Linked DNA regions of Rhinolophus ferrumequinum. The protein of the gene in region 1 interacts with the protein of each later gene in a pairwise test. Links are inferred from orthologs where the notes say so. Each region holds a gene or a part of one and is shown in the gene's direction. Other genes may lie near its edges.

What was found.
Region 2: the proteins of BCL2L2 (region 1) and KASH5 interact in binary tests that used the Homo sapiens proteins (3 or more experiments, as listed by UniProt). The two-hybrid records come from large-scale screens. The link is inferred for Rhinolophus ferrumequinum from reciprocal best matches to the Homo sapiens genes BCL2L2 and KASH5.
Region 3: the proteins of BCL2L2 (region 1) and BMF interact in binary tests that used the Homo sapiens proteins (3 or more experiments, as listed by UniProt). The two-hybrid records come from large-scale screens. The link is inferred for Rhinolophus ferrumequinum from reciprocal best matches to the Homo sapiens genes BCL2L2 and BMF.

What each region holds. Positions count from the first base shown.
Region 1 is NC_046289.1:73,759,139-73,767,163, forward strand, and holds the start of BCL2L2 (bcl-2-like protein 2), read left to right. Parts: upstream 1-4,945; 5' UTR 4,946-5,150; intron 5,151-5,248; coding exon of another isoform or gene 5,249-5,665; exon of another isoform or gene 5,666-7,208; intron 7,209-8,025. Other genes in the region: PPP1R3E (protein phosphatase 1 regulatory subunit 3E), read right to left, coding at 4,523-4,945, 5,249-5,665. UniProt on the Homo sapiens protein: Promotes cell survival. Blocks dexamethasone-induced apoptosis. Mediates survival of postmitotic Sertoli cells by suppressing death-promoting activity of BAX.
Region 2 is NC_046298.1:44,556,757-44,564,233, forward strand, and holds the start of KASH5 (protein KASH5), read left to right. Parts: upstream 1-4,401; 5' UTR 4,402-4,482; intron 4,483-6,634; 5' UTR 6,635-6,729; coding exon 6,730-6,772; intron 6,773-7,477. Other genes in the region: DKKL1 (dickkopf-like protein 1), read left to right, coding at 2,184-2,495. UniProt on the Homo sapiens protein: As a component of the LINC (LInker of Nucleoskeleton and Cytoskeleton) complex, involved in the connection between the nuclear lamina and the cytoskeleton.
Region 3 is NC_046289.1:64,881,010-64,888,839, forward strand, and holds the start of BMF (bcl-2-modifying factor), read left to right. Parts: upstream 1-4,745; 5' UTR 4,746-5,782; coding exon 5,783-5,909; intron 5,910-6,579; exon of another isoform or gene 6,580-6,818; coding exon of another isoform or gene 6,819-6,840; coding exon 6,841-7,137; intron 7,138-7,830. UniProt on the Homo sapiens protein: May play a role in apoptosis. Isoform 1 seems to be the main initiator.

The sequences.
Region 1 (8,025 bases):
TTGCTCTTCTCTCCAGTGCTTAAGGAGCATAATGTAACTTAGATGGCCCCCTTAAGGAAGAACCCCCACCAACGGGGAAACTAGGGGCTTCTACCCAAGCTCTTCCCTTTAACTACACCAGCAACTGGTGCTGGGTGCCAGGGAACTAAATCGCTGGGCCCTGGTAACTTTCCCTACCATTACCCCAAATGGTGGTGGGATCTTGTGGAGTGTCTTATACCAGGGCTGCCCAACTCCTCCATGTTTCCTTCCCACTCAACGTTTGCGTATCCAGAGGACTCCAGTAACAGGGAATAGGACCTTTAAGAAATGAAATGACCAAGAAATGGGGGGTATGAGGGAAGAACCTTGTCGCTGGGTCTTTTGCCACCCTTAGCCCAAAACAAACAATACTTCAATATCCGATGATATACATTCTTTTCATATTTCAACTTTATTTCAAACATGAGGTGTTTTATCCAGAAGGGAGAGCAGGTACATAAGGCAGCTGAAGTGAGGCACAGTACTAGCGGGTCTGGGGCCCAGTGAACAGGGCTGCACTATGAAGGGGGTGAGGAAGCTCTGGGAGGGCCTGAGTTCTCCAGGTCTGCTATTCAATGGGTGGATTATTCAGTGTTTTCAGCAACTTCATTTTTCTTTAGCAATATCACCAAAGAAGTGCCACGGCTGGGGACACACAAAAAACTACCAGTCCCTTTTGTTTTTCCTTATGCCTAGATGGGGAAGGGAATGGAAACTAGTAGCAAAAATGAAACATTTCTGATGTTATCCTTTGCCATGAAAAATGGGGGGATCTAACTGTGCAAAGCCCTATTTTGTACCCTGGAAATGGGATGTGGTCAGGAGGCCTAGGTTAGCCCCATCTCAAGCTGCACTGAAAAATCATCTGACCCTGTTGGGAGTCACTTCTCATCTTTGGATCTGTGTCCTTACTCGTGGAGGATCCAGTGATCTCTAAAGACAAGCCTTCCCAGGTCTGATTCTATGACATGTGGATTACAAGAATCCAGAGGACCTCCAGAGAAACACAGGAGTTAGTAGCAAGGAATGTGGGAGTTAGATTGGAAAGTTGAGGGGTTAAGGGTTATGCTGAAGAGAAATGATGAACTACATTCATAACGAGAAACAAAGGAAATGAAGGAAGGCTATCAGACCTCTGAGGTCTGGATGAGAGGAAGGGCAACAGTGCTCCTGCTGTGTTGCTTCAAGGACCCAAGCCCGGCCACGGTCATGGTTTCTCATGGCACTTCCGACTCCACAGCTCACGTTATACCCTAAATTGCTCCTGTTCATCGAGTCATCAGCCTTTAGAGGCAAGTCCCTACCACAATGCCTAACACAACACATCCCTGCAGATTCCCCCAAATTCCTATTGTTTACCTTATCAGATTAGGCTGTCAGCTCACCCCAAGGCCCTGGAGCAGCACTATATGAGAACCAGAAGACTTATGTGTTGGGTCTGTAAAGCTGAGAACGGGGGGCATGAGTGAGCCACAGTATTTCTTACAGAGAAAGAGCTCAGGGAACAATGGATTATCCTTGGTTCCCTGCTTCCAACCAGCTTGCATTTCTCCACTCAGTAATGCCAGGACTCTCAGAGACGGCCAGAGCACAGAGCATCCAGTCCTAGTTGGGGAGCTTTCTAGGAGAAAGTTTAGGCAATTGGCCTGTTCAAGGCTAGTGGTGGGTATGGGAAGGGGGTGGCACACCAATAGGTTGGAGGGTTGACTAAGGCCAGGGGAGAATCCCATTGTATGGAAAGGCTATAGTTCAAATGGGTTCCAAGTTCTCTAGCAGGCAGGCGAGTTAGTCCCTTGCTGATTCTTCAGATCTGGGACACTGGCATAGGAGACAGCAAGCTCCAAAAGGAGCAGATGAAGTTTGGGACCCTCAGTGCATTGCCTTCTCCAAGCCACTTGGGGAGACTGGGAGGATGGGAAGACAGAGCACTATTATAAACTGTGTTATTTTCCTAATAAGATGATATATGGCAAGGTTTTTAATGGAAAAAATATGTAACATCATGTTTATGCACTGGAGCTCTGGAGATTTTTTGGGTTCACAATCCTAGCTCTGCCTGTACTAGCTATATGATCTTGAACAAACTACTGAGTTTTTCTGAGCTGTTCCCTCTTCTCTAAAACAGGGATGATATTACTCAACTCCTGGGGTTATTTTGAAGATTATAATGCAAGCAAGATACCAGATTTAGTGGGTAAGTAAATGTGAGCTATTATGATTGTTAATACAACATAACAGTAATGCACACACATTAAGCAAGATTACTACACCCTGAGCCTTGACCCAGTCTCCCTCTCCATCATCCTCCCTTGGGCTCTTCACTGATAACTAAGTGCATTGCTTGGTGGCTTCCAATACAGTTTCATTCTTCACTCTGCTGGAACTTTGACCCGAAGGTGATCCATAAGATGTATGAAATTGTTTTCACCAGGTAAGAATGATGTTTAAATGGCCCTTTGTTTGAGGAATGACTCAGAGTTCCTCTTTTTCAGGCATCTTTCTTCAAAGGATTAAGGCTTTAGGTAGGATGGGCATGGTAACAAACCCCATACTCTATTCTGAATGCTTGTACAGGTACACCTGATGCACTCTCTCACTTACTGATAAGGAAGAAGGGGATCCAGACATTTTTCTTTGAGAAATCAGTAACAGATATAAAGGGGTGGGGAGCTGGTTACCTGGGAGCTCCTTGTTCATTTGCATCAGGAACTGCTTCTTTTCCCTCTTCTCCCTTCTAGAAGACTGTTAAGGAGGAGCCTGAAGGAGGAAGGTGGATCTACCATGGTCTTGGAGAAAAGCAAGTAGGTTCTCCACCCCTTCTGGAGGGACAAGGAATAGCACAGATCAACAAAAATGAGAAGGAAGCAATTGGAAATAGAGAAAATGAAGGTAAGTACTCTATTATGCTAAAAGAAAAATGGAAGTGAAAAGAGAGGGACAAGAGAAAAGCAGAGCTTAGGAATAGGGTAAGAGGGGGGGGGAAAACCCCAACAACTAGCAGAGGTTAACCAGGAGAGACATATGGCATGAATGTGTAGGGGTAAGAGTCCAGCTTTCCCATTTCACTTGCTCAGGATATGGAGCACACTGCCATCTTCTGGTGCCATTTAATTTTCAAGTTGTTTTGATTCTTGAAGTGCTTTCTATTTCTTATACACGTAATCCCATATCCTCACAAGTTCCCCAACATTATTTCCTTTCATCTTTGGGACTCCCAATCATCATTTCCCCCAAGAGACCTTCCAAAAGCTGTCTCAGAGCATCCAGGCTGGAAGTCTGTGAGGGCCAGAGCAAAAAGCAAGAGGCAGAGGATGAGCTGTGGTTTGAAAGAAGCCTTAATACCCAGAAGCTGCAGGCTGGTTTGGGGAGGCTTCCTGGCCTTGGAACATTTGTGTCAAAAACTGGAGGACCCATCCTCAGCCCCAACCAAACACTCGGGGTGCTGTGCATTCTGAACTGTAGCACTCCAACTGTAGGGTGGAGAACGTGGCTTCTAATCTACACTCTGCTACTCACAGATCATAAAATGTCAAAGCAAGAAAGGGCCAAAAGAGATCACCTAAACCAAATCCAATTTACCCAGGAGGAAACGGGGGCCCAGGAAGGTGAAGGAACTTGCCCAAAATTATACAGCTAGTCAGTGACTTCCTAGTCTTGAGCAGAATCAGAATAGTGATTCTTGTGATTCACAGTCCGTTGATAAATACAGTCCATAAAGTGCTTAGAGGTCATTAGAAGGCACCCAGAACAATAAGGCTGGCATTTTTCTGGAAGCCCCTGAGTGTAGCAACCCATTAGCCGCCGCGTTATTTGGCTACAAGCACAAGTCTGGAGTTGGTTTTGTCTTCATTTACACACCCCCAGGGCTGCAAAGAGGCTGGAGGAGGGAGCTCTGACTACTATCTCCCATCACTCCCCATCCAGTTCTCCAATACCCAAGCCAGGGACTGTCAGGGGTGACAAGGGAATCCTGTCATAATGCCAGGGATTGGGGAGCAATGGCCAGTTTCTGGGATTTCAGCAAGGCAACTATAGCTGAGTTAAAGCTAGGATGGACAGGGTTGGGGGACCTGAGATGGCAAAGGTAGATAAGGGAAAGAGCCAGCAATCTAAATGACTTCAACTGAGGGGGCTGCTACTTCACGCAACACACCAGCTCAGCCCCAGAGGGCTGCCCTAACCTTCCACTGCCTAGGCCCGCCGAACTTTCTCCCAGTGCCTGCTCACGGAAGAGAACGTCACCATACTCCTTAGTTTTCGCTTTTTTCGAATCCTCCTAGCGCCCTTTCGGGTCTCCTTTCTCCGGTACCTTGGGTTCCGTCTACTCACATCTAATCGGTGTTTTCCACCCCTATCTCCCCGACCTTCGCTGATTCCACCCACTCCCCAAACCCCTTTGATGTCTCCCGCACTTGACTCTCTCGGACAGCAGCCCGCCAAATCTTTGGGCACCCCTAGCCCCCAGGTGCCTTTGGTTTTTTCACCGTCGGCCGCAGGCGTCTCAGATAAAGTGAATCCAGCCCTGAGGCTCCGGGGTTCCAATACTGCCCGGGTGCTCGGGCCCACGTAGAGCATAGTCACGGCCGCCGTTGTTGTCCCAGAACTCGTGGCCTGTCACGCGGTAGCGCAAGGCGAAAAGCAGGGCGCCCCCAACGGGCGGCGCGGGCAGGCGAAAGGCGAAGCGGTCCGCGCGTGGAGGGGGCGGAGCCGGGCCGGCGTAGGCCGCGGGCGCCTCGCGTTGGCTCCGCCACCCGTCGGCGCTCCAGCGCACGCTCACGCGCTTCTCGTAGGCCAGGTCCAGCACGCGCGCGCTCCCGGCCACGCCCAGCGGGCCCGCCTCGGCGCGTTCCAGGCAGATACGCTGCGCCTGCAAGCGGGCGGCGAAGCCGGGCTCGCTGGCCGGCTCCAGGGCGGCGCGCGCCTCCTGGGGACGAAAGAGGGAGAGGGAGCACCGAGCCCTGGCGAAGGGAGGGCAGAGAGGGGCGGGGTCATAGCGAGTAATTGGACCAATCCGACGCCGACCCCGAAGTCCGGGCCCTCAGAGTGCGGCCAAGCTGCGAGAGTGGCCGATAGCCCCTCGCCAATGGGAGCCCCAAAAGGGACGTGCAAGAGCAATCCCGGGGGTGGAGGTGGATATGGGTATTCCTTGATTAATCCACTCCCCCATGCCCGCCGCGGTCGAAATGGGGAGGTCCAGGGAGAGGGCGTGCGTGCACCTGCCGCCTACCTGGAGGCCGCGGGCGCGGGGCTGGCACGGCGCGAAGTGGCGGAGGGCGTCCCTCTGCAGCTGGATCTGCACGTGGCGGGGCACCCGGGGCAGCTCTCCAGGGCGGAAGCGGCGCACGGCGGCCAGCTCCAGCCCCAACGCGTCGGCGAAACGCACTCTTTTACGGGTATCGGGGCTGCGGCTGCGAGGCGCCCGGGCACCGCCGCCTCCGGCGGGTGCGGAGCGAGCCCGGCGGCCCCGACTCGGAATGTGAGCGCGCGATCTGGCCCCGAGGCGCGTCCCGCCCTCGCCTGGCTCCTCCTCCGGCTCCTCCTCGAGGCTGGGCCGCAGGCTGCGGTAGTAGGCGCGCTCAGTCAGCGCGGCGATGAAACTCAGGTTGCGGGGGATGTCGGTGCGGGGGGGCCGCTCTCGAGACATGGCATCCCCCGCCCCGGCAGGGCCCGCCCGCAGCGCCGCCTCTGTGACCTCGCTCCGAATGGCCCACTCGCCTGCGTCCACGCAGAAGCCGCCGGCCCGCTTCAACCGCCCCTCGCAGTTGCGTACTCTCCTTGCTTTCACTTCCAGGATCCTCCACCTCCCGTAGTTCTGCTTTGCCTTGGTGACTACCTTTCCTTCCCTCTTGCCGTCAGCTTCCAGGGTCTTAGACGATCACCTCCTGTCTCCTGCTAGCTGTCTGCTCTGAGCGTGCGCTCAGCAGCACACATCCTCGGGTCTCGCGGCCGTCGCGGCCCAGGCCCCCGCCCACAGCCCTCTGACAGGTGGCTCCCATCTGTCTGCGTTGCTGCACTAGGGGGCGGGGACTCCACCCTTTCCGTCCTGGGTGAGACCCTCTGCCCTTTTAAATTTTTTTTAACGACCTCAACCTTTTTGGCATGGGATGAGTTAATGAAGGATGTAAAGAGTAACATTTCCTTTTCTTGCAGGGGAAGGTTCAAAGCGCTCAGTGTGTGACTTTCTCTGCAGGGCTCACTGTTGTCTAAACTCTAGTTTACAGGTTTTGGTGAGGGGGGGCGTTGCAAAGAAGGGAAGGTCATGAAAACTAGGCAGAATCCCAAATAAAAACAGACGCGGCCCACAAGGGTGGGTGGCCCATTGGAAAAAGTTCTGAACTAAAAGTCGTGGAAAGACAAAGCTTCTGGTCTCACTTCTGGTGCTAGTTAGCGGTGTAATCTTGAGCAAGGCACAACTTCTCTGTAACCTCAGTTTTCTCATCTGTAAAAAAATGGGTTCGAATTCTGATCTCTAACCTGACTAAGCCGTTTGAGGACAGAGCATGTGTCTGATAGTTCATAACAGTAGTAGGCCTTTAAATTATCGAATGAATGAACACACCACACTCTTGGAGCTGGGACTATAGGGTTCTAGTTCCAGTGGGAGGTTCCAAGAAGGGCACAGGGCCGGTGTTTTTCTTCATTTTTTCCTACTTTAGTGAAAAGAGCATGTGAAGTTTTGTTTATTTTTTTTTTCTACTTCCCACTGATCTTATATAGCACTTATAGTTGTAATAGTTTTACAAACATTAACTCATACCGTGCAGCCATCATAGGAGCAGGGAGTCTTATTATGGCTATTTTTACAGATGAGAAAATTGATGGAGAGAGGGACTAAGACTCTTGCCCAAGGTCACATAAGATAATAATTAGGGAGCTGGGATTAGAACCTCAGCAGTCCACCTCTGGAGTCCACTCTCTTATTTACTTGTTTATGTAAGATTAAAACAGTTAATGGTAATAGTTAACATTTTCAGAGTATTGAAGTGGGGAGTCTTAGAATAGAAATGGAATCTCTAAATTTAAAACAGCAGGAGAGTTTAACTGTAAATAGTGACTAAGTTGGAAATAAACAGGGAGACGTATACTACCTTATTATTGTAGAATTCATTCCTGTTTGCATTTTAACTTTAGTATTAACTATAACAATACTGTCAAGCCAGGACTGATTTTTAAAGTGATTCAATTTTATTTTTTTATTTAATAGGTATGTGTATAACCCATGGAATATTCTTTTTATATCTTAGGGTATAAAATAATGTTACACTACTTTGTTTTACAGTCAAGCAGTTTAAAACTGTCTTCCTTGCTCTGGTAAAATATGTCATTAACGAAATAGATAAGGTTCAAGGTTAGCCTATGTGGCGTGAAGTTTTCTGGTAAAAACTCTGTTGCCTTGTCTACTGTTGAGCTGCCATTCCTTGGCTCTGTGGTGTTGGTTTGAGAAGATCCTTGAGGTACACAGCTTTGGACCTGATGTAATTTGTGTTGGTCCAGCACCTTGTTCTCCTGGCAGCTCAGACTGACATTGAACCTTTATTCCAAATCAGTCTTTGTTTCTTAAACAGCCACTGCAGTTATCTTCAAACATCTGACTGGGCCTGCTTAATAACTGCCAGAGGCATTGACTGATTCATTCAGTCAACATTTACTGAAGTTCTGTTAGGACTTGAGGACATAAAAGTGAATAGACTTCAGTTCCTGCTCTCACAGAGCTTATAAATAAATGGCGGGCAGACAGAAATATATTTGGACCCTGAGACTTAAAAATATTTTTATTTCAATTAAATGTCTTAGAAGAAATATTGCAAATGAAGAACTAGACTAGGTTATTCTCAAAAGAAGGCAGCAACCTTGCTGGTAGAAGCAGGAATGATCAGCCTAAGAGCAAAGAAGAAATGAGGATGGTTGAAAGGATACAGTCATAAAAGAGTAGAATAGGCTGTGCATTCAGAATTCAATGGAGAACTGAGTTTGTGCTTGTAAATGGCATGGATTCAGTTTGGA
Region 2 (7,477 bases), on another chromosome or scaffold:
ACTAACCAGCTCTCAGTAATGAGGTATACAACCTTAGAGTACATCCCTCCACTCGCTTAGTAAACCCCAGAGGGTTTTGTAAACCAAGAAGTGCTTTTAATTCCAAGTGCTTGGTGCACTTCACCCTCACAAACCTCAAAGTGTTTTTATCTCAAAATACTCTGCAAACCTTTAAATATTTTTTTAATCTATCCCAAAGTGGTAAATCTCCCCCTTGTAAACTTCAAAATGTGATTTTTAATTCCAAAGTGCTTTATGAACCCCAAATGCTTTGTGTCTCTCACCTTCGTAAACCTTTCAGTGACTCTAACCCCAAAGTGCTTGCTTTTTTATCCTAAAAATTTTTAAGAACTGCCAAGTGCTTGACAAACCCATATGGTTCACACACACACACACACACACACACACACACACATACACACCCCGTTTTTTATTTTTTAAATTTCAAATCTACAGAAAAGTTGGGGGAAAAATGTACTATAAGCATATCTGTATTCTCTTTTTCACGGAGCAGGGTTTCTCAACCTTGGCACCATTGTCATTTGTGGGCTGGATAATATTTGTTTTATTTGTACATGGGGCCATCCTTTGCACTGTCAAATGTTTAGCAGCATCCCTGCTTCTCCCCATTAGAGGGAAGTACCACCCCCACCCTGGCCAGTTGTTACAACCAAAAATGTCTCCAGACTTTGGTTGAGAACCACTGGCCTCGCTTCACCACTTGTTAGCATTTTACCACACTTACTTTATTTTTACTTTTGTATTTTTGAACCATATGACAATAAGCTATTGACAACCTGACACTTCACCCCTAAATCCTTCAGCAGATATCTCCTAAGAAGAATGCCTTCTCCCACATGACCACAGTACCATTTTTACACCCAAGAAGTTTAATATCGATGTCAAGCTATTATCTCTGTATTTGTTTGGGAGGGCTGCTATCACAAAGTACCACACAGACTGGGTGGCTTAAATAACAGGAACTTTTTGTCTCATGGTTCTAGAAGCTACGTGTCCAAGATCAAAGTCAGCTCCTTGTGAGAGCTGTGAGGGCGGGTCCTTCTCCTACCGTGTAGTGTTTTGCTCACAGTCCTTGGGGACCCTTTGTGTGTAGATGCATCGCCTCCATCTCTGCTTCATCTTCATGACGTTCTCCCTGTCTGCGCTTCTGTGTCCAAATTTCCCCTGTGCATAAGGACACCAGCCATACTAGATTAGAAGCCACCCTGATGACCTCATCCTAACTAATTAAATCTGTAATGACACTATTTCCAAATACCCTGTTTCCCTGAAAATAAGACCTAGCTGGGCCATCAGCTCTAATGTGTCTTTTGGAGCAAAAATTAATATAGGACCCGGTATTATATTTATTATATTATATTAAGACCCGGTCTTATAGTAAAATAAGACTGGGTCTTACTATAATTTTTGCTCCAAAAGACGCATTAGAGTTGATGGTCTGGCTAGGTCTTATTTTTAGGGAAATACGATAAAATCACAGTTTGAGGTCCTGGGGGTTAGAAATTCAACATATGAATGGGGAGAGGCACAGTTCAACCTATAAGAATCTCCTACAGGACTTCTCAGACCTCAACTTATTAAAATGCAGACTCTGATTCAGTAGGTCTGAGTGGGCTGCAGCCCATAATTTACATATATAACAAGCTCTCAGATGACACTGGTCCACAGCCCACACTTTGAGCAGCAAGGACCAAACAGACCATATTCAAATATCCCTACTGGCCCCAAAGCTCTCTGTAAGGCTGATTTGATTTTGGACCAGGATTCAATCAAGGAGCACATGTAGCAATTGTGGTTATGCTTCTTTAGTAAAGCCAAGAGCTTTTAATCCCGAAGTGCTTTGTACATTTCAAACTGCTTTCCAAACCTCAGAGTATGTTTAATCCTGAAGTGCTTTGTAATCCCAACCGGCATTTTAAACCCCAAAGTGCTTTTGAAACCTCCAAAGCATTTTTTTCAATCCCAAAGTAGTCCATAAACCTCAGAGTATTTTTGAATCCAAAAGCGCTTATTAATCCAAGTGCTTTGTAAACTGCAAACTGAGTTTTTAACTCCCAAAATGGCCTGTAGGTGACAAAGTGAATGGAATATGCCAGTGGGGTCTGAGCATCCTGAGGTTGTCATTTAGAGTTTGAGAGGGTCTCCTTGTCCCTCTTTCCCAGGTACCCAAGACAGAGGACAAGGAAGCCCTGGTGCCTGTCCCAAAGGCCATGGACAGCTTCCACCCGGAGCCCCATTCCCGAGTGGCCTTCTGGATCATGAAGCTGCCACAACGAAGGTCCCACCAAGGTGCCCAGGAGGGTGGCCACTGGCTCAGCGAGAAGCGACACCGCCTGCAGGCCATCCGGGACGGGCTCCGTGAAGGGACCCGAGAAGACGTCCTTGAAGAGGGGACCCAAGGTTCCTCCCACTCCAAGTTGCCTGCCCGAAACACCCACTTCCTATACATTCTCAGGCCCTCCCAGCAGCTATAGGGGTGGGAACAGGGGAACACCTGCATATACCCCCACTAGACCCTACCCCAAGGATCATATGGAAATAAAGTTTCTTCTTACAGCTAGCTGCACTGTCTCCTTTCAGGATATGTCTCCAAACCTCAGCCGACCAGGCCATCACAAGTTTCGACAATAAAAAGATAACTAGACAGTCATAAAATGTTTGGAAATGAAGCAATATACCACTAAAATAATGCGCAGGTCAAATTAGTAAATATTTTGAACTGAATAATAATGGAAAGGTGGCATAAACTTGTGGAATATAGCTCAAGAATGTCTCAGCAAATTATGGCCTTAAATGCATATATTACAAAGATTAAATATCAATAATCTAAAAATATCACTGATCTAAGCACTCAAGACAGCTATAAAAGTTTAATTGAGCTATAACTTAAGATTTAGCACTTTATGTATGTTACCATTACACTATAAACTTCTTAAAAAAAATTTTCAGGGATTACAAAATTACCCAGACCTCAAAAAAGGAAGAAACAAGAAATATGGAAGGAATAAACTGACATAATACCATTATACTAATAAATTATGTTAATAAAATTAATGGGGTCCACCACATGCCAGCCTGTGCTAAGAAAACACTTGGCAAACATTCTTATTGAACTCTCGTAAGACATCATGAGGTGGATATTTTTTGTCCCCATTTTAGAGAAGAAGCTGATATTTAGAAATGTGAAGTCGCTTGCCAAAGTCACACAGCAATGGCACTAGGTTTGTCCGATTCAATATCTCTTTTAACCACTCACCACGTCACCTGCCAAACAGGATTTTTCCCGGGCCTTGTAACAAGCCACCATTAATAGCCAAAATAATAACTATCAATTATTAATAACAAGGATTACCACCTTAAGTCCTCAAGGTGACCTAAGAAGCAATTATCTTCATTTCTGGAAGGAAAACAGGCTTAGAGAGGGTAAACCATTGTACCAAGGTCACAGCTAGAAAGTGGTGGAGCCAAAATTCAAACCTAAGAATATCTGACTCCAGGCCCACCACCTTGTCATCACGCTACACTGCCCAGTACTTAAGAGGCATGGATTCAGTCCCTTCAACTTTTTCTTTTGTTTAGCGTCCACACCAAGCCAGGCATGTTCTAGCCCCAAAACAGTCTCCTACTGCACACAGGTCACATTCCAGTGGGGGTGACAGTAGACAAATATAGAATATGTCACGTTTTGAGACGTTCCATGAGGACCACTAAAAAGTGGATAGTGTGGGCTAGCAGAGAGGTTGAGTGGGTGGGACCGCGTTTGTCCCAAATGCTCTTCCTTGGGAGGATCTTCAATTTTGGATGTAATTCTCTTCCTCTCTCCAGCCAGAAAAGCGAGAATATTTTCTCCGCACTCTCTCCTAAAAGGAGTAAATGAAACAGTTTGGGGAAGAATCCTTCGGGGACTTATTAATACATCTTAACTGGAGCTACAAAAGGGCGCGGGAGTGGTGAGGCAGGACAGGACAAGACATCATTGTGATGGTGAGGGGCAGACTGTCATGTCACGGAACAGATGGCATCACGAGCACGGCTTAGTAGCTGATAAGAAGTGGGGATGAACAAGGGGTCTCTCAAGCCAATTCTCCCTTGCTTGGGCCTATTTCACCGAATCTTGGGGCCGCAGAGAAGACCCCAGCACAGGGGACGTAGCCGCCTCCTCCCTTAATCCTGCCAGCCTTCACCTGCTTGGCCAACACGCATGCGCCCGCTCCACGGGTCTGGGCGCGCGCTGGGGAAGTCCTACGCATGCGCAACTTCGCAGTTGCAGGTACCGGCCCAACTAGCGCGCCCCTTCCTCCGATGTGCGCCTGCGCTGAGGGAGGGGCCCAGACGCGCAGGGGTTTAGACGTCAAGCGCGCTCTCGGTCCCGCCCCCTCCCTTTGCTTTTCCGGTGGGAATAGCGCGCTGGCACCTTTTCCTGGGCAACTGCCGTTCGTCGTCCGTGGCCCTCGGCCTCAGGTGCGCTCTGACTGTAGCGAGGTTCCCCAGATTAGCTCTGTCAAAACCCCTCCCGAAATCCTGGCAAAGCCCCCAAATTATAGGGCAGGGTCCCCAGTATCAGGGGTCTCCTTAAAAGTCCTGAAATCCTGACTAAATCCCCTCAGAAATACTGAAAGGAAGCTACCAGGAGATCTTATAGAAGATCCTCGAAATTTTGTCAGAATCTTCTAGAAATTCTGTCAGTCTTCTCCCTCAGTCTTCTCCCTGCCCTAGACCTCCCCAAAATCCCGTTACGCTCCCTCCCCAAATCCTATCAAACCCCCCAAGTCCAGAAATCTTGTGGAACCCACAAAAATTGTTAGATTCCCCCTCTCAAATATCCGAGACCTGAAATCCACTCATACATCCCCCAGAAAGCTCGTCAGATTCCCCAGAAATCCAGAAACTCAGAGATCCAGTGGGAGATCCTCTTGAAAACCAGTCAGAGACCCAGAAATCCAGTCAGAGACTCCCTAAGTTCCAGATCCCCCTTCAAAAGCCCCAGAATTCCTGCCTGGGTCCTCCTGCTAGAATCTCCCGCTCAGAGGCCCCTGAGGTTGACCAGAGCATCTTAGTCCCTCACCAGGAGTGTGTCCCCCACACCCTGTCAGAAGCTCCCAGTGCCTCTCAGCACCCTCAAAGGGACCCTTCTCCACTCAGGCCCCAGGGCCATCCACCCCCTTCTGCGCGCCCCAGCAGTATCCAAACCCTGGAAGGGTCTCGTTTCAAAGACCGTTTTTTCTAGGATGTTCTAAACGTCGCCAGGAAGTGTGCCCTCCACAGCAGTGGACCCATCTGGCGCCCGGGGAGCAGGGTGTGGGGAGTAGGTGGTGAGGACAGGAGGGCTGAGCAGGTGGGATGAGGACGGGCAGGTCCCCGGCCGCCCTGTGTTGACCGTTTGCCCCAGCGTACTCAAGTGTGATGGGCACTATTGTCCAGTGTAATTATTAAATCGCACCCCTTTCACTCTTGAAAGTATCCTGGAGTTGGGGCAAGAAGTCTTATGGTCAACCTGGTTATAATGGAGGCAGGACAGGACACGGTTGGGGCACAGAGGAGGGAATCCCTAATTGCTCCGAGGACTCCGGAAGCCTCCCCAGGGAACTGGGGGCCAAAGCAGGGGCCACAAGTGGAGACGGTGTGTGTGGTATGTTCTGGGCCTGGGAGGACCATGGGAAGATGCTAAATGCCCACGGTCGGGATGAGGGCGAGGGGCCTGGAGGTCAGCCAGTGGAGAGAAAAGTGATTTAAAAAATAAAAAGCAAGGAGTTGCAGGGACTATTCTGTGCCACACTAGCCAGAGGAGCTAGGCCTTAGTGCTGAGGGCACTAGGGAGCCATGGGAGGGCTGCGAACAGGGGAGCGATGGGCTCAAACTCGCGTCAGAGGCCGACAGTTCCAAATACGGGCTGACAGTAGCCCCGGGCAGTGAGGGACCCCACAGACAAATGTTCAGAAACATTTCCCAGAGGAGGGGACTTGCGAGCTGAGACAGGAAGGACTGGGAAGTAGGGTGTTCCAGAGGTGGGAACAGGGAGCCTGGCTTGGGGAGCAGCGCACAGTTCAGAGTTGCTGGAGCAGCAAGTGTGGTTTGGGGTAGAGAGGCAGGCGGGGCCAGGCCATGCCGGGCCTTCGCCAGGTCCAGGGTCGAGGCTTTGTCCCTGGGATGCTAGGGAGCCATGGAAGAGTATTGAACAGGGGAGGGGCAGGTCAGCTCTGGGGCCCGGTGGGGATGGACAAAAGTGGGAGACTGGAGGCTGGGAGGCCAGAAAGCAGGCTGGCATGAGGGCCCGGGGAAGAGGGCGAGGCCTGAGCCAGGGCCCTAGGAAAGGAGAGGAGGGGACGGGGTAGAGTCATTGGGGTGGAGGGACAGGGCTGGGGACTTGACAAGCTGTGGAGAGGAGGCAGTGACCCCCACTCATTAGGCCCCCTTTGATCTGTGCCACTCACTCCTCCAGCCCCCCTTTGCCAGCCCCCACCGCCAATCCATTAAGTAGGTCTGAGCCAGAGCTGCTGTGATGGAGGCAGGGGTGGGCAAACAGGTTCTGAGAGCCCAGAGCAGCCTGGGGCACAGGTGGGTCCCCAACTTGGGGTGGCTGGTCTGAGGAGGTCATTCCCCTGCTCTCCTCCAGGAGCTCTCCAGGCAGCTGGTCCGTTTTCCGTCCTTCCCAGTGATGGAGGGAGGCTGTTAGCATCAGCAGCAGCTGCAGAGCGAGGAGGGTGTCCCATGGACCTGCCAGAGAGCCTGGAAGGCAGCCCTGCTACAAAAAGTAGGTGGCTGGGCCCCCGTTTGCCCCGTGGGAGGATGCGGGAGCCGTGGGTGAAGAGGCGCCAGGCTGTGACTTGGAAGAAGTGGCTTGGGGTGGCTGAGGCTCCGCCTTGGTGCAGGGTAGGAGGGAAGGAACCTGCTGTGTGCCTACCTGTCTGGCCCCTTGTCCCCTTTCCTCTGAGGAGGCCAGAGCAGAAGCCTGTGCCTGTTGTGTCCCCTGCCTGGAGCACCCTTTCCCGGTGACCCACGGGCTCACCCGTCTTCATTCAGCTCTCATCTCTCTGTAGCGCAGCTGCCCTGTCACTCTCTCCTCTTTCCCGCTTTACATCTCTTCATAGCACTGACACTGGTTTGTCTGGCTGTTCAGTCTCCGTCTCCCCCACTAGAGCAGGAGCTCCACCAGGCAGCTATTTATTCACTCTGGTCTTTCCAGTTCTCAGAGCAGCACTGTCTGACGCACGAGCTGTATATGTAATTTTAAATTTTGTTAACAGGCACATTTAAAAGAAAAAAGAAACAGGCAAAATGTATGGCAATAATAGTTTTGATTTAACCTAAAGTAGAAAGGTAGTATCCTTTCAGCGTATAATCAGTATAAACATGTATTGGAGATATTCTCTTTTTTCTTACAAGTCTTCAAGATCTGGAGTGTGCTGCACACTACTAGTGCATCTCAGTTCACACACGCCACAGTTCGCATGCTCAG
Region 3 (7,830 bases), about 8.9 Mb from region 1:
CCAGATTTCTGAATTCCCAAACGTTTTATCTTCAGTACCTGCTTTTTCTATTTTCTTTGACTGGAAATCAAGTCTCTGTACTTGTTTATCCAATTAGCAGAAGCCAATCTGTCTGTCCTGCTATCTTCTCTCTCTCTCTCTCTCTCTCTCTCTCTCTCTCTCTCTCTCTCTCTCTCTCTCTCTCTCTCTCTCTCACACACACACACACACACACACACACACACACACACACCTCTGCAACTCAGAAGAGAGGGACTATTGCTTTGCAGGCAGATGGACTGATGCACAAAGAGATAAATTCCTTCTGTTAGAACAAGTCCAGTGTGGGAAGGACACCAAGCTTTCCAGGTTCTGGTCTTTCTTACATTCAGGATCTCTCCTGGAGGGAGTTAAGAGGCAAGGCAATCAAGCACTATGGGCTCTCCCTCCAAGACCCCCACCTTACCCATAAATCAGTTTCCAATCTAACCCCTCCCTGGGGGTTGAGTTACAAACCTCAGTAACCCCAGGGCGGCCTGCCTGGTAATTCCTATTATTCAGCTGTCAGCTGGTTTTTTAAAAACCTCCCTTCCCAGTGATCTAGTTACTGGAGTTTTAGAGCTCATTCCTTGTCTCAGAGAGAAATCCTATAGCCAGGTGAAACAATGGAGAGGGCTCCTGCCTGCTGTCTACAGGGAGCTGGGTTTTCTCTTCTGTTCAAAGTGCTCCCCTTAACTCTTTGTGTCCCTCCCAGATTGTGGGGGAAGGTCTGCCTCCCTCTCAGGCCTGCAGGCTGATGCCGATGCCGTTCAGAGCAACTTTGCCTTTCTCTGTGGACCCTCCTTCTAGAGCCAGCATCAGTCAGCAGAGGAAAAAACAAATTGGGGCAAGGGGTGGGAAGAGAAAGAGGGAAAGGAAATTCTCCACAAGAAAGGCTGCTTGGGCTGCAATGTGTGTTTGCCCTGAGCCCAGTCAAAAGCTCAGGGTTCGTCCGTTCCTAGGGTGCTGTTGTTAGACAGGGGGCTCAGAGCCCAGCTTGCCAGTCCCGCAGGTCCTGACACTGCTGAGTCTGCCCTATGCTAGAAGGGAAGAAAGGGCACAGGGGGAGGGGCCTGCTTTGACAGTGGTGAGAGGTGGGGAGTGAGGATCCTGACCTCCCTGACCCCTTTATCCCTGACAGTCTTTACTGGTCCCTCTGGCTCAGAAGGCTGGGCCCCTGCTGCTTGACCTTAGAGGCTGAGCGCACAGGAGGCCAAGCCACCAGGTGTCCTTTAGAACCAGCCTGAGGGAACAGCCTGGGAAAGCCTGGGAGAGAAGTCTTAGAAGAAATGTCCCTAGAGGGTGTGCCCCTCCCTCTATCTTGCAAACTGCCCAGACCCACTAAGATGATTCCCCTTTACTCCCCAGCCCCATTTCCCTGCAATGGTGATTTTTAACCTTTTATAGGATCACAGACCCCTTTAGGAAACTGTTGTAAGCTACAGAGCCACCCCCCTCCAAAAATGCGTGAACCCACAAACACAATTTAGCCAGTTTCAGGGGTTGACAGACTCTAAAGCTGAGGAGACCCTGGTGAGTCTGGAGAATACATGGATCCCAGGTACTGTATTTCCCCGAAAATAAGACCTAGCTGGACCATCAGTTCTAATGTGACTTTTAGAGCAAAAATTAATATAAGAACCGGTATTACATTATATTATTATATTATACCTGGTATTATATTATATTATATTATATTACAATATTATATTATATTATATTATATTATATTATATTATATTATACGACCCAGTCTTATATTATAGTAAAATAAGACCTGGTCTTATATTACTTTTTGCTCCAAAAGATGCATTGGAGCTGATGGTCCGGCTACTTCTTATTTTCAGGGAAATGCGGTAAAAACCCTGCTGTACCAGCTTCCTTGCGCTGTGGACCCCAATTCCACCTTACAGGGCTGTGATGAAGCAGACAGTGCTTTAGCAGCTCCGGTGGGTCAGGAGAATTAGGGTGACCCCTGCACCCCCCTCCCTAGGGCCGATGGGGTGGGCGGGGAAGGGCAGAGGACAAATTCAGAGCTACTTTGTCTTTCAGTGCCACTTTTGACCCAAAGTAATTCCCATGTTCATCGCTGGCCAGCGTGAGACACTGGCCCAGGAGGAAAGCTAATAAGGATGGAAAGAAGGAGGGGAGGGAGAACTCTGTGTGGTGAACATGGCGAGGGCTCCCCAGAGCCCTGCACAGAGGCTGGGGGTTTTGTCTCCTCATCTGCCCACATGTGGCATGAGTGCTCGGTCACTCTGACCAGTTCTGACACTCCCTCTTGGCCAAGCCTCCTGGTAATGTACCTCCTTTTGGCTCCCATACCTTTTTCTGGATATCTGTCAACTCTTAGGGGGTAGGGTGGGCGGGGACTGGGATGCTAGCCAACTTTGACTCTCCCTTCTTTCCCTTTTCCCTCTTCTCCCTCCTTTGGGGATAGTGTTTTCTTACTCTAGCAACCACAGCTCTCAAAATGCCTGCTTCGCTCTCTTTTAGCTGCCCTTTGAGGGAGCTAGGGGAAAGAATGGGTAGGGAAAAGATACAAGGTGACTTCAGGCTCCTCTGGGCTAAGGGTCCCAACGCTACTGAAATCTGTCTGAGTTTCTCACCCAGAGATAGCGGGTTGGTGGTCAGAGGACAGCCAGTCCCCACCACCCCTGGAGTCTGGCCCCCATCATTGATCACTTCGTTTGTTGCAGGAACTGGCTCCCTCTCACTGATTTCTGGCCTCTTCATTTGTCTTTCCTAAAATTCAGTCTTGGTTAAGTCACTCATAAAATCTTTCCTGGCTCCCCTGTGCCTCCAGAATAAAGTGCATTTCCTCAGCCTGGCATTGTAGAGATACCTCTGTACTCTGACCTGAATCTACCTGTCCTTGCTCACCCTTCTTAACTCCCAGTGTGTACTTAGTAATCCTGTCCTCTCACCTGCTCCCGGGCAGATTCTCCAGTTCAGGACATTATTCTGCTGCCCCTAGCCTGGGCTGTTTCACCTGGTTTTTCTTATTGAAAAATTTCTCCTTCAAGGGTCCTTCAAGACCCTACTCAAAAGCCATCTCCCTGAAGCCTTCCCTAGTCTTTGCCTTCTGAATTTTTCTGCATCTCCCATTAGTCATTATCCCAGAAATTAATGCATTTCATACTGCTTTCCATTATTTTCAAGTCTACCTCTCCAAGTAGATTGTCAGCTTCCTGAGAGCAGGTACCAAGTTTTTGGCACCTGTATCTGGCACAATGTAGGTGCTCAATAAATGTTTGGGCCTAGCGCAGAGATTCCCTTACTGATGGTATATGATTTGCGGGACCCATTGCTCTCCTGGCAGCCCCAGCACTCTCTCTGGAGGCTGCCATAAACAGGATGTGTGTCAACTGCCCAAGCAGCGCCTGCATTCTTGATCTCTTCTCTCCTCAAACAGATGCCTATTTTGTGTTCACGCCCAGTCAAGAAGAGGACATGAGGGTTCCTTTGGATGAGTTTGATCTGAATGTCACTGAGTAACAGCACCGGACATACGTGTTCTCATGCTTCCTACAGATCTGGGGCTGGAGTTTTCTCCAGACCCGCTCCGCAAGCGGGAGGGTGCTTTGCTACCTTGCCGGGATCCGCAGGGACCCGCACTTGCAACCACTGGACATTGCCAGTCGCGTTTAAAAGCTCCCGCTCTCCTCCTCCCCTCCCTTTAGGGACGCGCAGTATTTATTCAGCCTATTCCCGAGAAAGAGAAGACAAGTCACTTTGGCGCCTCCTTGTTCGCTCCTAATGGAGAGGGCTGTGCTTCCCTAGCCTGCATTAGGAACCGAGTCTGCGAGGGCAACGGCGCACCAATTGCGTTTCTGGCGGGGGTCAGAATTTTGCTCGGCCCCTTGCAATGTTTCCAAGGGGAGGTTCGTAGATTCGTGACTGTCCCTGGCAGTCGCCCAGCCCGGGACTTGGGGCTCCACTCATCATTGGCCAGCGGTAGGCGTGACGCGCCGGAGGCGGGGCCTCATCAGCTGTTTGCGGGATGCCCCGAGCGGGCGTATTTTGGAAACAATACCGCGCGGTGCGGAGTGGCCTCCTCCCGGGCGCGCCCGGCCGCTGCCGCTGCGTCCCCTGCTCGCTCCTCCCGCCTCCCACTTCTCGCCGCAGCCGGGTGAGCGCCCGGGCGGCCGGGAGCCGGGCGGAGTTGGATCGCACCTCCTCGGGGAAGTGGGGAGAGGAGTCGCGCTGCGCGTGGGGGCCCGGGAAGGGTTGGGCTGCAGGCGTGTGGGGTGACCATGAAGTACTGGGGCGCTGGGCTGCGGGAACGGGGTGAAGAACCCACATCTAGGTGCGCTGCTCCACCAGGCAACTTAGGGGTAGTAGCATTTGAGAGTCCGAGGAGTTGGGTCCAGGTGGGCAGGGGAACCTGCAGTGCACTGCTGAGCCGACCTAGGCGCCCGAGATCGGCCGGGCCTCTGGATCTTACTTTGGGGTAGGGCAGGGAGTCGTGGGGCATCCTGCCTCCCTGCGGAGTTTGAAGGCTCCTCTCCTTAACAGCTGGGCTTTTTCCCTCCTTCCCAATTGAGTCTGGGCGCCAAGCCCCCGAGTGCTCGTCACGCTGGACCCTGGCGCGGAGCCCTGGCATCACGACTCGGAGGCCGAGACTCTCTCCTGGAGTCACCCAGGTCGGCGGTGTGTTGTGTGAGTGCGTGAGTGTGTGTGTGTGTGTGTGTGTGTGTGTGTGTGTGAGAGAGAGAGAGAGAGAGAGAGAGAGAGAGAGAGAGAGAGAGAGAGAGACCAGATTTTAGCCCTTGTCGAAGTTCAGAGTATCTGGCTACTGCCTTCTCCGAGGAGGAGTCTAAGTTCAGCATCCCTGTTAAGAGTCCTTAGGGGCTGGGATGGCTCCGGCGAGCTTTAGTCCCCCTTGCTAGCAATATAGCCTACCCTGGCCGTGCTCTCAGCAAGTGTTCCCCTCCTACCAGTTTGGACATCACCCCTTTTGCTCAGGTCAGTTTACACTTGACCTTGCCCAGCACCCCACTGGAAGCGCCCACCTGCAGTTCCTGTGGAGAGTGGGACGGGTCCCCGTCCGCCCCCCCCACCCCCTCCCGCCGTGGCAGAGCCACACCCTCTGGCTGCACCTCCCCCACCGTCCAGTCCAGGCTTGGGGTTGAACTTTGGGGCTTTGCTGGGAGGGGGATGGGGAGGTGACGGGCTTCAAAGGAAGAACCAAGACAATGACTCCTGCTTGTGATTGGCTTTGGAGGGTCCCTTCTTACGTTGGGATCGCCAGCTTGCTGAGAGGAGGTTGAAGGGCTGGAGGGGAGCCCCTGCCAGTGACTGGCAGGACAGCCTTTCCTTTAAGCGGGAAACTTTGTTTCCTGGTGCTGATAAGCTGGAGTTCTCCCACCCCACGCCTCCTTTGGGAAACACTATTGAAAGAACACCAGGTGCCTGTTTTGCCATCCAAGTAGGCATCTCCTCACTCTCCAGGGATGAGGGCAGAGATAGGACCATAGATAGTTCCAGGAATAGATGGGATGGAGGGGGTTGAAACAAGCACCTCAGAGACAGCTTGCATTTAGGAAAGCCAGGATTTCTGAATTTAACCGGGATTTCTTTAAGTACTTTACCAACCCACAGACCCTTTGGCTTGCTCTTCAAAGGCAAGAGACTGGGAGACAGAATTCCCAGGGAATCTAATAGAATCTGGCAGTGACAAACATTGTCTCTCTGTATCCTTAACCTATTCAGGTGGTTGTTGCTTCTGGCTGCCCCAGGGGCCTTGAGGGGTTCCTAGTGTATGTGTGTAGGGGTCTGGGTTCGGATCTCAAGATGCTGGATGGCTCCAAGCTCAGACTTCCAAGAGCCAACAAGTGGAGCAAGAACTTCTTTATTACCAAGAAACTCATCAACAACCTGTATAGCCAGTGAGTGAGGTCACGGAGAAAGGGCTGAATTTCACTTCCTTCTGTGAGGCAGGTTGTACCAATCCCAGGTTCAGCACTGGCAGGAATGGTAGGCTGGCTATGGTGAAGGATTTAAAGTCACGGAGACTAGTGAATAGACTGAGCTGGGGGAGGCTGGTCACTTTGCTGAATGCTGGACCTACCCTCTTGGCCAAGCTGTGGTGGGTAGACAGCTCTATCTGAGAGGGCAGCTGCAATGACTAATTTGGGTCTTTCTCCCTTCTCTCTCCCAGGACACCCTTACCACACCAAGGAGTCTGTTTGTTGTGTTGAGCAAGCAGGGGGTGGAGACTAGAGTAGATGGGCAGGTGGGCGGGACTTAGCAGGTTTGGAGGGAACCTGGCTGCCCTATGATTGCTGGCTGGCTTTTGTTTTTACTGCTGAGCCTGGAGCTCAGCTCAGACTTGGTGGTTACTCCCCAGGGCAGTGGTGGGGGGGGGGGGGGAGAGGGAGGGAGAGAAAGGAGAGAGAGAGAGAAAGAGAGAGAGAGAGTTAGTTAGTTGTGAGTATTTTGTGTACAGCCAGTCACAGCACCCTTCTGCCCTCCCACAGCCACTCAGAGAGGCTAGCCTTGTTAACATTTCCCCAGGTACCCTGTATGCATGAAGCAAACTTCATGACTGACCAGCTGGGTCAGAAGAAGAGGCCGAGGGGAGGGTAGCTGTGAGTGGGCCCAGGAAAGTGGTGCTGCAAGTCCCTGACTGAACAGTGAGGCAGTCCAGATTTGGGGATGGATGTCACCCTTGGCTGTGCTTTACCACCAGGGTCATCTGTCACTAGTACCTGCCCCCACTTCCCCAGATAAGAAGGGAGACCAGGGAAGAAGGTGGGGGAGGCCCAGGGTTGGCCTGGGTGGGGACAGCATCCTGGATGCCTTATTATGCCCTAACAGGGGAGATGGAGCCGCCTCAGTGTGTGGAAGAGCTGGAGGATGATGTGTTTCAGCCAGAGGATGGGGATCTGGGGACCCAGCCTGGGAGCTTGCCCTCTGCTGACCTGTTTGCTCAGAGCCAGCTGGACTGCCCCCTCAGCCGTCTGCAGCTCTTCCCTCTCACCCACTGCTGTGGCCCTGGGCTGCGACCCACCAGCCAGGAAGACAAGGCCACCCAGACGCTCAGTCCAGCCTCCCCAAGCCAGGGTGTCATGCTGCCTTGTGGGGTGACTGAGGAACCCCAGCGACTCTTTTATGGTGAGTGCTCTTAGCCTCAAGACTCCTCCCATAGAGACTGGGGGAAAAGAGGGGACTTTCCCTCCCCAAACCTGCCCTTTGTTATTTCCTTCCCCAAATTGAGCAGCAGAGGCTATTGATTGCCCAGCTCTCACCTCCTACCTTTTAGCTTGTCATTGCTCCTTACCTGTGCTCCTCAGGCCCCAAGAAGGGCAAATTGCCCTGCCATTATTTCCTTTCTTTTGTCCCTTTCTGGAGGGATCATTGGTCCCTGGTGTCTCCTCTGGGGTTGGAGAAAGGGCACCTGGATCCTGTAGCCCATTGAGTGGCCCAGACTTGTGCCCTGGTGGTGATGCACCTTCCGTACGGTGACTAATGTTGTCCTGGAGAAGGTTGGATCTGTGACTCGCTGTTGACACTGAAGGGAAAAACCCAGCCCCTTCTGGGAGGGAAGGTTCCTAAAGGCAGAAGGTGACCCCCAATTGTCACTTGGGACTTTCTGTACTTGGAAGGGGAACTGGAGAAAGAGGTTGGGACTTCCTGGGCTCAATGCCAGCACAGGGGCTGATTCCAAGGCTCAATAGGACAAGACCCTTTCATTAGTCGGCTTAAGTGGTTTGTTTTATGAGCAATATGCCGTCCTCTGGCAAAAGGGCAGGGTTAGACACTCAGTCTGTTTTCTTCTTTTAGCATAATAGCTTATGGAGAGAGGGG